Linked DNA regions of Drosophila melanogaster. The protein of the gene in region 3 purifies or fractionates together with the protein of the main gene of each other region. This does not show direct contact. Each region holds a gene or a part of one and is shown on either strand. Other genes may lie near its edges.

What was found.
Region 1: the proteins of e(y)3 (region 3) and Taf13 purify together in Drosophila melanogaster (affinity purification with western blotting, with the first as the bait; 2 studies listed by BioGRID). This does not show direct contact.
Region 2: the proteins of e(y)3 (region 3) and Taf10 purify together in Drosophila melanogaster (affinity purification with western blotting, with the first as the bait; 3 studies listed by BioGRID). This does not show direct contact.

The regions. Positions count from the first base shown.
Region 1 is NT_033779.5:20,092,588-20,095,585, forward strand, and holds Taf13 (TBP-associated factor 13), read right to left. Parts: upstream 1,263-2,998; 5' UTR 1,182-1,262; coding exon 1,137-1,181; intron 1,074-1,136; coding exon 731-1,073; intron 660-730; coding exon 637-659; 3' UTR 525-636; downstream 1-524. Other genes in the region: Pyroxd1 (pyridine nucleotide-disulfide oxidoreductase domain 1), read left to right, coding at 1-524; nesd (nessun dorma), read left to right, coding at 1,622-1,766, 1,852-2,998.
Region 2 is NT_033779.5:2,766,065-2,769,112, forward strand, and holds Taf10 (TBP-associated factor 10), read left to right. Parts: upstream 1-1,825; 5' UTR 1,826-1,916; coding exon 1,917-2,162; intron 2,163-2,221; coding exon 2,222-2,479; 3' UTR 2,480-2,548; downstream 2,549-3,048. Other genes in the region: aph-1 (anterior pharynx defective 1), read left to right, coding at 251-643, 703-1,026; Taf10b (TBP-associated factor 10b), read right to left, coding at 1,273-1,713; colt (congested-like trachea), read right to left, coding at 2,581-3,048. UniProt on the Drosophila melanogaster protein: TFIID is a multimeric protein complex that plays a central role in mediating promoter responses to various activators and repressors.
Region 3 is NC_004354.4:19,635,360-19,640,089, forward strand, and holds the start of e(y)3 (enhancer of yellow 3), read right to left. Parts: upstream 3,011-4,730; 5' UTR 2,014-3,010; exon of another isoform or gene 1,493-2,013; intron 1,111-1,492; 5' UTR 1,079-1,110; coding exon 1-1,078. Other genes in the region: Rcd-1 (required for cell differentiation 1), read left to right, coding at 3,951-4,034, 4,087-4,461, 4,537-4,730. UniProt on the Drosophila melanogaster protein: Essential transcription regulator during early development. Coactivates transcription of some euchromatin genes and repress transcription in of euchromatin genes translocated to heterochromatin.

The sequences.
Region 1 (2,998 bases), on a different chromosome or scaffold from region 3:
CGTGTGATTCGCCACTTCAATTTTCCGACGATGGTGGCATATCGGTGGATGAAATGATGCGTACGAATCTGGTGGATGTCTTTGCGGCCGGTGATGTGTGCACGGCCAACTGGCCAGCCGCAATGCACTGGTTCCAGATGCGCCTGTGGACTCAGGCTCGCCAAATGGGCTCCATGGCGGGCAGGAGTATGGCGGCTGCCAGTGAAGGTGAAAGCGTGTACCAGGATTTCTGCTTCGAGCTCTTTGGCCACGTAACCAAACTTTTCGGATATCCTGTTGTCCTGCTGGGACGCTTTAATGGTCAGGATTTGGGCAGGGACTACGAAATTCTGGTGCGCTGCACGAGAAATAAGGAATACATCAAGTTTGTGCTTCAAAATGGCAGACTACGGGGAGCAATGCTAATCGGCAACACTGATCTCGCAGAGACCTGCGAGAACCTCATCCTGAACGGCATTGATTTGGAGCCCTATGGCGATGATATTCTTAATCCCGACATTGACATTGAAGACTATTTTGATTAGTTTATTATGCGCTAGCTTAGAGTATTAAAGACATTAAAAATAATTCGCATCTTGGAGCTAACTGCTAGGTTTGGCTTATACCTGGATTTGGTGTGGCTTTTTTTGACCGCTGTCATTTGAGCTTGCCTTCGGTGCCTGGGAATTATTCGTTTAAATGGTTGATTACATGTAGTTCTTAGGAAATGTCGAACTTTTGCAATACTCACCCACATACTTGATCTCATCGAAGGCCTTTCGTGCCTTTTTCAACTCCTCGTTCATGGTCAGAAGATCCTTCACCCTAGCGTACTTTCGGGGATCTTTGCGCACCAGGAAGATAATGTCTTCGACTTGAACACGGCCTGTTCGACCGATCTCCATTGCCCGGTGAGTGGTCTCAGCTATATACTCAATGACCAGGTCTTCCAGCAGATCTACGGTTTCCGTGTATGGATTTTTGTCGTCTCCGAATCCGAACATCATGCAGCGCAGCTCCTTGCTGAATAGGCGCTTTCGTCCTGAGTTGGTAGCCACAAATTGGTCATCCTCCGCGTCGTCATCAAAGTTGAACTAAAAATGGTGATTAGCTTAGAATCGGAGACATTGGAACTGGTGCTTATAATATTTCCTTACATCACCGCCCTCGAAATTCTCCTCTGGCATGCTATTTGAGGCCATAGTGCTCAGACTTCAATTAAAACGTTGAATTTGTATACAAATTTTGTGTTTACGCGAGTAACACCGCATTGAATGAGCATTGTAATCGATACTTGCAGCACTGCTGGCGATAATTGGTTGAGAAGGTAGCTGATACTGAGACTAACTCGAAATAGCTAGATTGCGAGCTCATATTTCAAATATCTGAGCTTGTCAACAAATCTAAATATTTTGGTTCGTGATTAAATAAATTGTGAATTTATTCAAGACCATACAAAATACATCTAAAATATATTTATATAGGTGCTTAAATTATAGCCACGAGTAAAAATCTAGCCAAACTCAACACATGGTTGCACTGCGCGATAACGCCGCCCGAACAATCGTTATCGAAGCCTTTGCTTGCACACGCATTTCAAAAATTTTTATAAACGAACACATCGTTCATTCAAAAGGGGAAAATGGAAGTGTTTACCTTTGAGAAATCGTACTTGGAGCGCCTAAAAGAAGCGGAGGCGGTGCTTTCGTGGGAGGGAGCCGTGATGCCCGCATCCCAGGTTCGATCCGAGTGGAAATCCTACGTCGAATTAAAAATTGAGCCTGCAGGTAAGCCACCCACACACACACACACACACACTCGTGCACAAAAGGCAACTATATATACATATATGTATCTATATGGGATATATAGGATGGCAGGCAATTTGGAAAATTCCACGCGTTATTTGCGAGGATCTGAAACTACGCTATCCCACCATTGTTTACGGCTACGTGGAGCAGGTGATCTTTGACGAGCTCAAGGCGGTATTTGTGGTGACCGCCGTGCAGGATAGCGATGTCCACCTGCCGGAGAGTAATGAAGTATCGCTAGTGGAGCTGTGGCCCACTGTGCAGCAGGAGAACGCAGCTCTAAATGTGGATACCACCGCTGAATGCATCGATCGTTTGCGGTTCTTCTATACGCATGTGTGGATGCCTTGGGACAAGGACTACGACGATGATCGCGACTGGGTGCAACAGCATCTGCAGGCTCGTATCCAACTAGTGTGCGATCTCAGCAAGAACCGACTGCCCCGTCCGTTGGCCCTGCACATGCGCACCCTGCTCGCCGAAGCCAAATACATTCAGCAGCGTCTGGACTACTTGGAACTGGATCTCAGTGATGCCGAGAGCGACGACGAGGCTGTGGAACTCAATGACAGCGTAGCAGAGCCCGCTAGAAAGCAATCTAAAGCGGGCAGTGCCAATGGCTGTCTCAATGTGTCCAGTCTGCCGGTTACAGATCTGATGTGCCTGCACCTGCGCATGGCCATCATAAGGAGCGAGTTCGAGATCCTTGAAAATCCTGAAATGAGGCGAGCCTACAGCGAGCTACAGTCTAATAGCCTCAAGCGGCTTCGCTGCTCCTCAGGAAGAACCAGACAATCGGAGGATCTCTTGGTAGAGCGGAATTCCATAAGCCATGTGGTAACCTTGCCGGGAAAACTGCAGCAGCAGCTGGAACTGCTAAAGCTGGCCCAGACGCTGGTCAAGCCGGAATCGAAAGTGCAGCTGTCCAATACGTTGCAGGATGTCCTGAGCATCTGTCAGAGCAACGATGATATTCTACTTTCGCCCGGCGAGCATACAATCAAATTCTTGGAGCACCTCAACGATAATGGCAGCCTAAGGGGACTCACTCAGCCGGAAGCCATACTAAGTCCTGCTGCAGATCTTTCCCTGCTGCCTGTGGTGTGCTCGAGCGATGAGGATAGCACCCTGCTGGTCATTGATGGCGACTATACCTTGTCGGAATTGGTTTTGGATTGTCGTCATGTCCGTAGAGGGATCCTGCTGCG
Region 2 (3,048 bases), on a different chromosome or scaffold from region 3:
AAGTTAAGATTAAAAGATTCCCATTTGTTTGGATAATTCTCGCAGTTTAAATAATTTGTATACTTTTGCGTGACGCACAAGCTAATGTACTCATCTGTGTAGGGTATGTACACTACTAAAACGTACAGTGTGGCAGCCCGAATGGCACTGCAAAAGTCTGGCAACTCTATGCGAGTCTCTGCTTCCTCTTCCCAAGTAAACCAAAACACCCACAGAGCAAAAGAAAAAACAGTAATAATACAAAGACAAGATGACGTTGCCCGAGTTCTTTGGCTGCACCTTCATCGCCTTCGGACCGCCCTTCGCCTTGTTCGTCTTCACCATCGCCAATGATCCAGTGCGGATCATCATTCTGATTGCGGCGGCATTCTTCTGGCTGCTTTCCCTGCTGATCTCTTCCCTGTGGTATGCCCTGATTCCGCTGAAGGAGTTCCTGGCATTTGGCGTGGTCTTCTCGGTGTGCTTCCAGGAAGCCTTCCGGTACATCATCTACCGGATACTGCGCAGCACGGAGCAGGGATTGCACGCCGTGGCGGAGGACACGCGAGTGACGGACAACAAGCACATCCTGGCCTATGTCTCCGGCTTGGGATTCGGCATTATATCCGGGATGTTTGCACTGGTCAATGTGCTGGCTGATATGGTGAGTGCAGCAAAGGTGCGTAATGTGCTCCGAGCAATGACAGATCTTTTGGTTTTTAGAGTGGTCCCGGCACCATGGGCTTGAAGGGCGGAACTGAGCTATTCTTCGTCACCTCGGCTGCCCAGGCGTTGTCGATTATCCTGCTGCACACCTTCTGGAGCGTTATTTTCTTCAACGCATTCGACACAAACAACTATATCCACATAGGCTATGTGGTTTTCAGCCACCTGTTCGTCTCCCTGATAACTCTGCTCAATGCCAATGAGCTTTACACGACCACTCTGCTGATAAACTACTTGGTCACCATACTTACGGGAGTCCTGGCCTTCCGGGTGGCTGGAGGAACATCTCGCAGTTTCAGAAAATTCATAACATGCCAGTAAACATACTCCTAGTATTAACCGCCTAGTTAATAGCTTTTGTATAACATTATAAAAAAAAACAAATTACCTTGTATATGCTCGATTAGTTACGCATTCTATGGACTTAAATCCCTTTACTAAATGGATTTCTTGAAAGAATGAGAATGCATTAAGATCCCAAGGTCTTTCGCAATAAATTCCCAAAACACAGATCTTAAGATACATTATTTTTAATGAGAAAAAAACTACTACAATGCATGCCATTATCTACTGACTATAGTCCACTTTCCTAACATTAATACCGTAGTCGGCCAAAGCCGGCTGCAGATCCTCCATGGTCAAGGTGAACTTGCGGTCCTTGGCCTTCGATCCTCCCGGTGTATTGGTGGTTTGCATATGGGTGCGCGCCTTGGAGTGCTGCAGTGCATCGTCGATGATGTCGGACATGTACTTCTGGGCGGCTAGGCTGATCAGCCGAACGATGCGCTTGTCGTCCGACTGAAAGCCTCCCATGTTGAGATAGTGCGAGGTGACCGCATCCGGAATCAATGGAGTATAATCTTCCAGCTGCGACATGAAGTCGCTGAGATGCGAAGATGGTGTGGTCCTATCCCGATCTCCACCGCCACCTCCTCCCGAGGATTGTCCATGACTGCTTGCGCCACCGGCGCTGTTGTGGTAAATAATTCCGAAATTGGAGCCCACCATCGAAAAAAGTGTACAATACAAATTAAACACAGTGCAGACGTAGTGATGGGAGATGCTAGTTATCGAATTATTCCGTATTGTTGCTGCCAGTGCTATCGATTCTTCTTACGGTTCGTCATCGATTACAATATAAACATACACACATATACACGCCAGCTGAGATAACAAATTTCTGGAAATAAACAATTAAAAAGTGGAAAACAATGGCTTCCGATGGCGAGGACATCAGTGTTACACCCGCAGAATCCGTAACATCGGCCACGGACACCGAGGAGGAGGATATAGACTCGCCACTAATGCAGTCCGAACTGCATTCCGACGAGGAGCAACCGGACGTGGAGGAGGTTCCTCTGACGACGGAGGAATCGGAGATGGATGAGCTGATAAAGCAGCTGGAGGACTACTCGCCCACCATACCAGACGCCCTCACCATGCACATCTTGAAAACGGTAGCTATATACCGGAAACTATTCTTTGTAGCATTTCTAATATTGGATTAAATCTGCAGGCTGGCTTCTGCACAGTGGACCCCAAGATAGTGCGCCTCGTCTCGGTGTCCGCGCAGAAGTTCATCTCGGATATTGCCAACGACGCACTGCAGCACTGCAAGACGCGCACCACGAACATCCAGCATTCCAGCGGACACAGTTCCAGCAAGGACAAGAAAAACCCCAAGGACAGGAAGTACACGCTGGCCATGGAGGACCTGGTGCCGGCACTCGCGGACCACGGCATCACCATGCGCAAGCCGCAGTATTTCGTTTAGATTTAGTTAAGCTCTAAAGTTTTGAATTGGGCACACAAATATAGCTAGTTTTCTTCAAGTTGTAAAAACATTTTAGCGAGGCACTTTCTTTATTAGACAAACTAGAAATTTGGAGCTACGATGTTAAAGAATTTGTTAGCCAACTCAATGCCGAAGAAGCAGGCAGCGTTGGCTGGGAAGGCTCGGAGCATGATGGGCGTCACGCCGCGGTACAAGGCCAGAGGTCCATCCTTGACAATCAGATCCTTGAAGACACTGCGTATGCCGTGCTTGTAGGTGCCTTCGGGAGCCGATTGTAGGCGGCTCTTTAACACGTCGGCTGGCATGCCCAGAATCCAGTAGGCCATGCCCGCCACTCCACCTGCGAAAATCGTTGAGGCAGTACTGATTTGTCCCGTCTCTGACTTCGACTTGGCCACATCCTGCAGCGCCTCGTAGACCAGGAAGTACAGCCCGTTGGCGGGCAAATCCCTGAGCATTGTGGCGCAGCTGCCCTTGAAAACGCTGCGAAGTCCACCCTCCTTGTATAGCTTGCCGGCGCAGTCGATCATGCCGTTGTACTTGCGCTC
Region 3 (4,730 bases):
TTGTCTTGATCATCAGCTTGGGCACCGTCTGCATCTCCGCCAGTGAGGACGACGACGACGATGAGGAGGAGGACGAGGCAGATGAAGACGAGGCGGATGCGGGCGAGAGGCTGGACAGGTGGGCATCGTTCTTGGCGGGCATAGCTGACTGGGCGCCACTCACAGCTGCTGAGCACGATCCAGAGTTGGAGTTGGAGCCGGAAGCAGCCGGATTCTCAGGCAACTTGATGGTCAGCTTAGGCACCACGCTGCCTACGCGCCTCTCGTTCGCGGCGCGGATGGTCAGCTTTGGCACAATGTGCGGGGTGTTTCGTAGTTGTTGGCCGAGGGTGGTAGCCACCTCGTCCTCGGCGCACGACGAGGAGCAGGAAGAGGCGTCCGCATCGAAGGCATCTTGCTGCTTCGCAACCAAGCCTCCTTCCGCTCCGCCGCAGGGCAGCTGAATGCGCAGGGGCTCCACGCGCCTCTCATCTCCGCCCGGCTGAGATTCATTTGCGTTTGAGTTGGGATTGGCGTGCTTGGAGAGCTTCAGGATGATCTTATGTCCATCCCGCTCCTCGCTCTCTACCTCAAGCGCCGTAGCGGCCATCGGTCCACCTGCTGCTCCCGCTGCTGATGCTGCTGATGGTGCTTCTCCGGATGCTGAGCTGGCCGATGCAGATGCTCCAGTTGTGCTTGGGGCATCGTCGCACGGCGTCGTCGGCGGTGGCAGCGTCGGCGGAGGCGACGCTGTGGTGCTGGTTATATGGCCGGGCTGATTATGCTGGTGCTGCAGTGCCTCCTCCCGCTGCTGCTGCTGCTGTGGCTCTGGCTCCTGTTCCCGGTCCCGATCTGCATTCAGCTGCTGATCCCGCTGGGCTGGCGACGACGTGGAGCTAACTCGCTGCTCCTCCTCGCTCGTGCTGCTCGCTGCCACTGACTTGGCGTTGCTATTAGCGCTACAGTTAGACTGGGGGCGACCTGCTGCTCCGGCTGATCCTGCTGTGGACGTGGCGGCTGCCGATTCTACCGCTGTTCCCGATTCCGATCCTGATGACGATGTCGCTGCTACCATCTGCTGCTGACGTAAATCATTCATTGCTATATTCGATTGTCCAGTGGGCCGCCAGCCTGCAAAAAGAAGTGGACGATACTTTAGATCAGGGTGCATGATAGCAGTCGATAAGATTCGGGACTTTCAACAACTAATTCTTAAATTTGCATGTGAAATCAATCCTAAAGAAAACCGCCAATACAGCATATAATAATGCGTATAATTGCCGCTCCAAGGGATGCATTTTGTTTACACTAAAAAGAGACAATTTGAAAAGGGGAACGACCTACAGACACACACACCCACAAATACACTCATACATACATACATACATATATGTACATTTGTACATACACACTTATTGGAGCCCAATGAAAGAATAAAATTGAATGAAAGCCGGGTAGAGTTACGAACTAATTATAGCACATGTCTAAACAATTAAACCGTATTTGTAAATACCGAAGGACGCGCAGGTTTAAACAGTCGCCAGCCGAAAATTCCGATGAAAATGCAATACGATTTTCCGGCGCTGAAAAACTACCGCTCGAAATTGCCGCGAAAAACTTCAAGCGAAATAAACACAAGAAGAACCACGGCGAGGGCAACAACAACAACACTTAATAAATAATAAGCGCTGCAAACATGCGCACACAGCTGTCGACTGGGGGAGAACGTGAAAAGGCAGGAGGAAGATGAGGATGAAGCGGAATGGCTATGGCGTTGAGCGCAGAGGAGCGCAGCGAAGCAGCGGGATAGGCAAATACTGAGAAAGCCGCGCCGCCACGAATTATGGCCTGTTTGTTACTGGTGTGTGCTGGCAACACTGACGCGAATTCACCACGCTGGCGGCCAAATCCACCACAAGCAGTCGATGCCGCTGCATGGAGAAAATCCACACACACACACACACATACGAAGGAGCACGACACGCACACACTCATATGGGTTGGTTGCCCTGGCCTGCGTATATGTATGCTTACATTTCTACTGGCCAAATGCAAGCATCTATCTATCTGCACTAGGACTAATATTATTGTGAGCACGATTTTAGAGCGCAATATCGACAGCCAGTGCACTGGCAACAAAATTAGCAACAACGACGCCGCCGCCAAAGCCCTGACCCAACACCACCACTACAACCACTACCACTACCAATACCAACGACAACAACAATAACGAACGGGGCAAAGAAGAAGCAGCAACGACAAGCAAACGGCAAACTCACCATGCGGCAAAGTCGTCGCTCAGAGACAGACAAAAGAAGATGGTGGAGTAGAAGAGCGCCTGCTTTTGATTTGCGTGCACAATTCGCGATTGCGATTTGGATTTGCTATTTCGTTTGCCTTTGCCTTTGCTGGCATTGGCATGCTCATATTTCTATGCACTTTGATTGATGCTGCGCGACGCCGTGCGGCAATTTTCTTTTTTAGGCGTTCGGCGTTGTTGGGCGAGAAGTAAAACACATTTTTCCATACGATTCAATGCGATTTCGAAGCACGGGCAACACTCGACTCTCGGCCGCAGTAGGCACTACTCGCACGCACACATCGGCGGTGCACACGCATGCACACACACACACACAACAGCAACAGAACGGCACACACACACACACGCTCAGTCGTACGCACACAAAGGCAGCGACACAGAGACAAGCGCAACGAGCTCTCTCAGTCGCCGTTGTCCCACTTTCCGTGTATTGGTTTCGATTCGTACACTTTTCCACGCACTTTTAACGATTCAAATTCGATGGTACAGAAGGCAGGGCGACACGAGAGTGCATTGGAAACTGGCGCAAACCTCAAAAAAATATATCCAACACGCTGGCCGCACGCACGACTCGTATGCAGACTGGTTCTCGGCGCGCGTCGAACGTTCTTATGCATTCATTATTGAACGGAATGCTCTGTTTCGCCTGTCTGCTTATGTTTTTTTCTTTTCGATTCCGAGGTACTCGTCACGACAAATGAAAATCAGTGTGGCCGTTTTGCGGCTGTCAGCTAGATACCCGGCTGGCGGGGAATGTGCTAAGAAATACCACAAAATCGACGGGGATAGCCGGGATACAAACCAGTCGGTGCACTTGACTACCGCTAAATGCGTCTTTACTAAATTGCATTTTTAGCTTTTAGCATGCAAATTATGAACTATAACCTAATTAAAATACCCATTATGGTTATTACTTTTGATCAATGTAATCATCGGTCATTCGCAATCACGCGCTCACGTCCATTCATTATTTCTTTGCAATGTCATCCTTTTTCAAAGATATCAAGCCTATTTTCTTCAAAATTGTAGACTTTTGCATTTTGCACCAACAAAGCATGCGCAAGCAGTTGTATTTGGCAAATCATGTTTGATTTCATTCAGACTTTGTGTTTTCGTACGGCGGGAAGTTTCTCTGAAAATTTAAATTTATGTACATATTTACATCGACGCTGGAAAACAAATAGCGCGCTTGCGTTTCACCAATTTCCAGCGGCATTTGCGCGGTTCTGGCCACACTGTTCGGCACACAACATAATCCTGGTTGTCGCCACTTGTTTTCGATCATTTTAGACTTAAACCAATGCAAAAGGAATTTCCTGCTAACGTTATCGATAATCGCAATAGACGCCAAATCGCCAGTTTTACCTCTTCCTTTTTCGCAGGCCCCGTTCCGTTCAGCGAATTCTCGCCCGAGCTAAGTCTATTGCAAGCGTCCGGCTATAGAAATCGACGACAAATCGCTAGTTCCACCTCTTCCTTTTCGCAGGCCCCATTCCGTTCAGCGAACTCTCGCCCGATCTAAGCGTCCGGCGATAGGAATCCACCTCTTCCTTTTCGCAGGTCCCGTTCCGTTCAGCGAGTTCTCGCCGACACTAAGTGCATTGCAAGCGTCCGGCGACAGTTCTTACCCAGATCTTGTCAAGTTAACACGATGAGTGCTCAACCGAGTCCGCATATGAATCCTCAGCAGCAGCAGCAGCAGCAACAGCAGCAGCAGCAGACCGAGCAGGAGAAGGTAAGCCGATGTCGGCAAGAACGCGTGCTAGCTTTAACTTATCGCCCGCCAGGTGTACCAGTGGATCAATGAGCTGGCCCATCCGGACACGCGTGAAACCGCTCTGCTCGAGCTAAGCAAGAAGCGTGAGACGGACCTGGCCCCCATGCTGTGGAACAGCTTCGGGACCGCCTGCGCCCTGTTGCAGGAGATTGTTAACATCTACCCATCGATAACGCCGCCCACTTTGACGGCCCACCAGTCGAACCGCGTGTGCAACGCCCTGGCGCTGCTGCAGTGCGTCGCCTCGCACCCGGAGACTCGCACGGCCTTCCTGCAGGCCCAGATACCGCTGTACTTGTACCCTTTCTTGTCGACCACGTCCAAGACCAGGCCCTTCGAGTACTTGCGCCTGACCAGTTTGGGCGTGATTGGTGCTCTGGTCAAGGTAGGTTAAGCCGAAGGCCAGTGGTCATCTAATGCACTAATGCACTTGTTGTCTTCTTATTACTGCTATCGACAGACCGACGAACAGGAGGTGATCACCTTTCTGCTGACCACCGAGATCGTGCCCCTTTGTCTGAGCATCATGGACAGCGGATCGGAGCTGAGCAAGACTGTGGCCACTTTCATCATCCAGAAGATCCTGCTCGATGAGTCGGGTCTGTCGTACATCTGCCAGACCTACGAACGCTTTTCGCACGTGGCCATCACCCT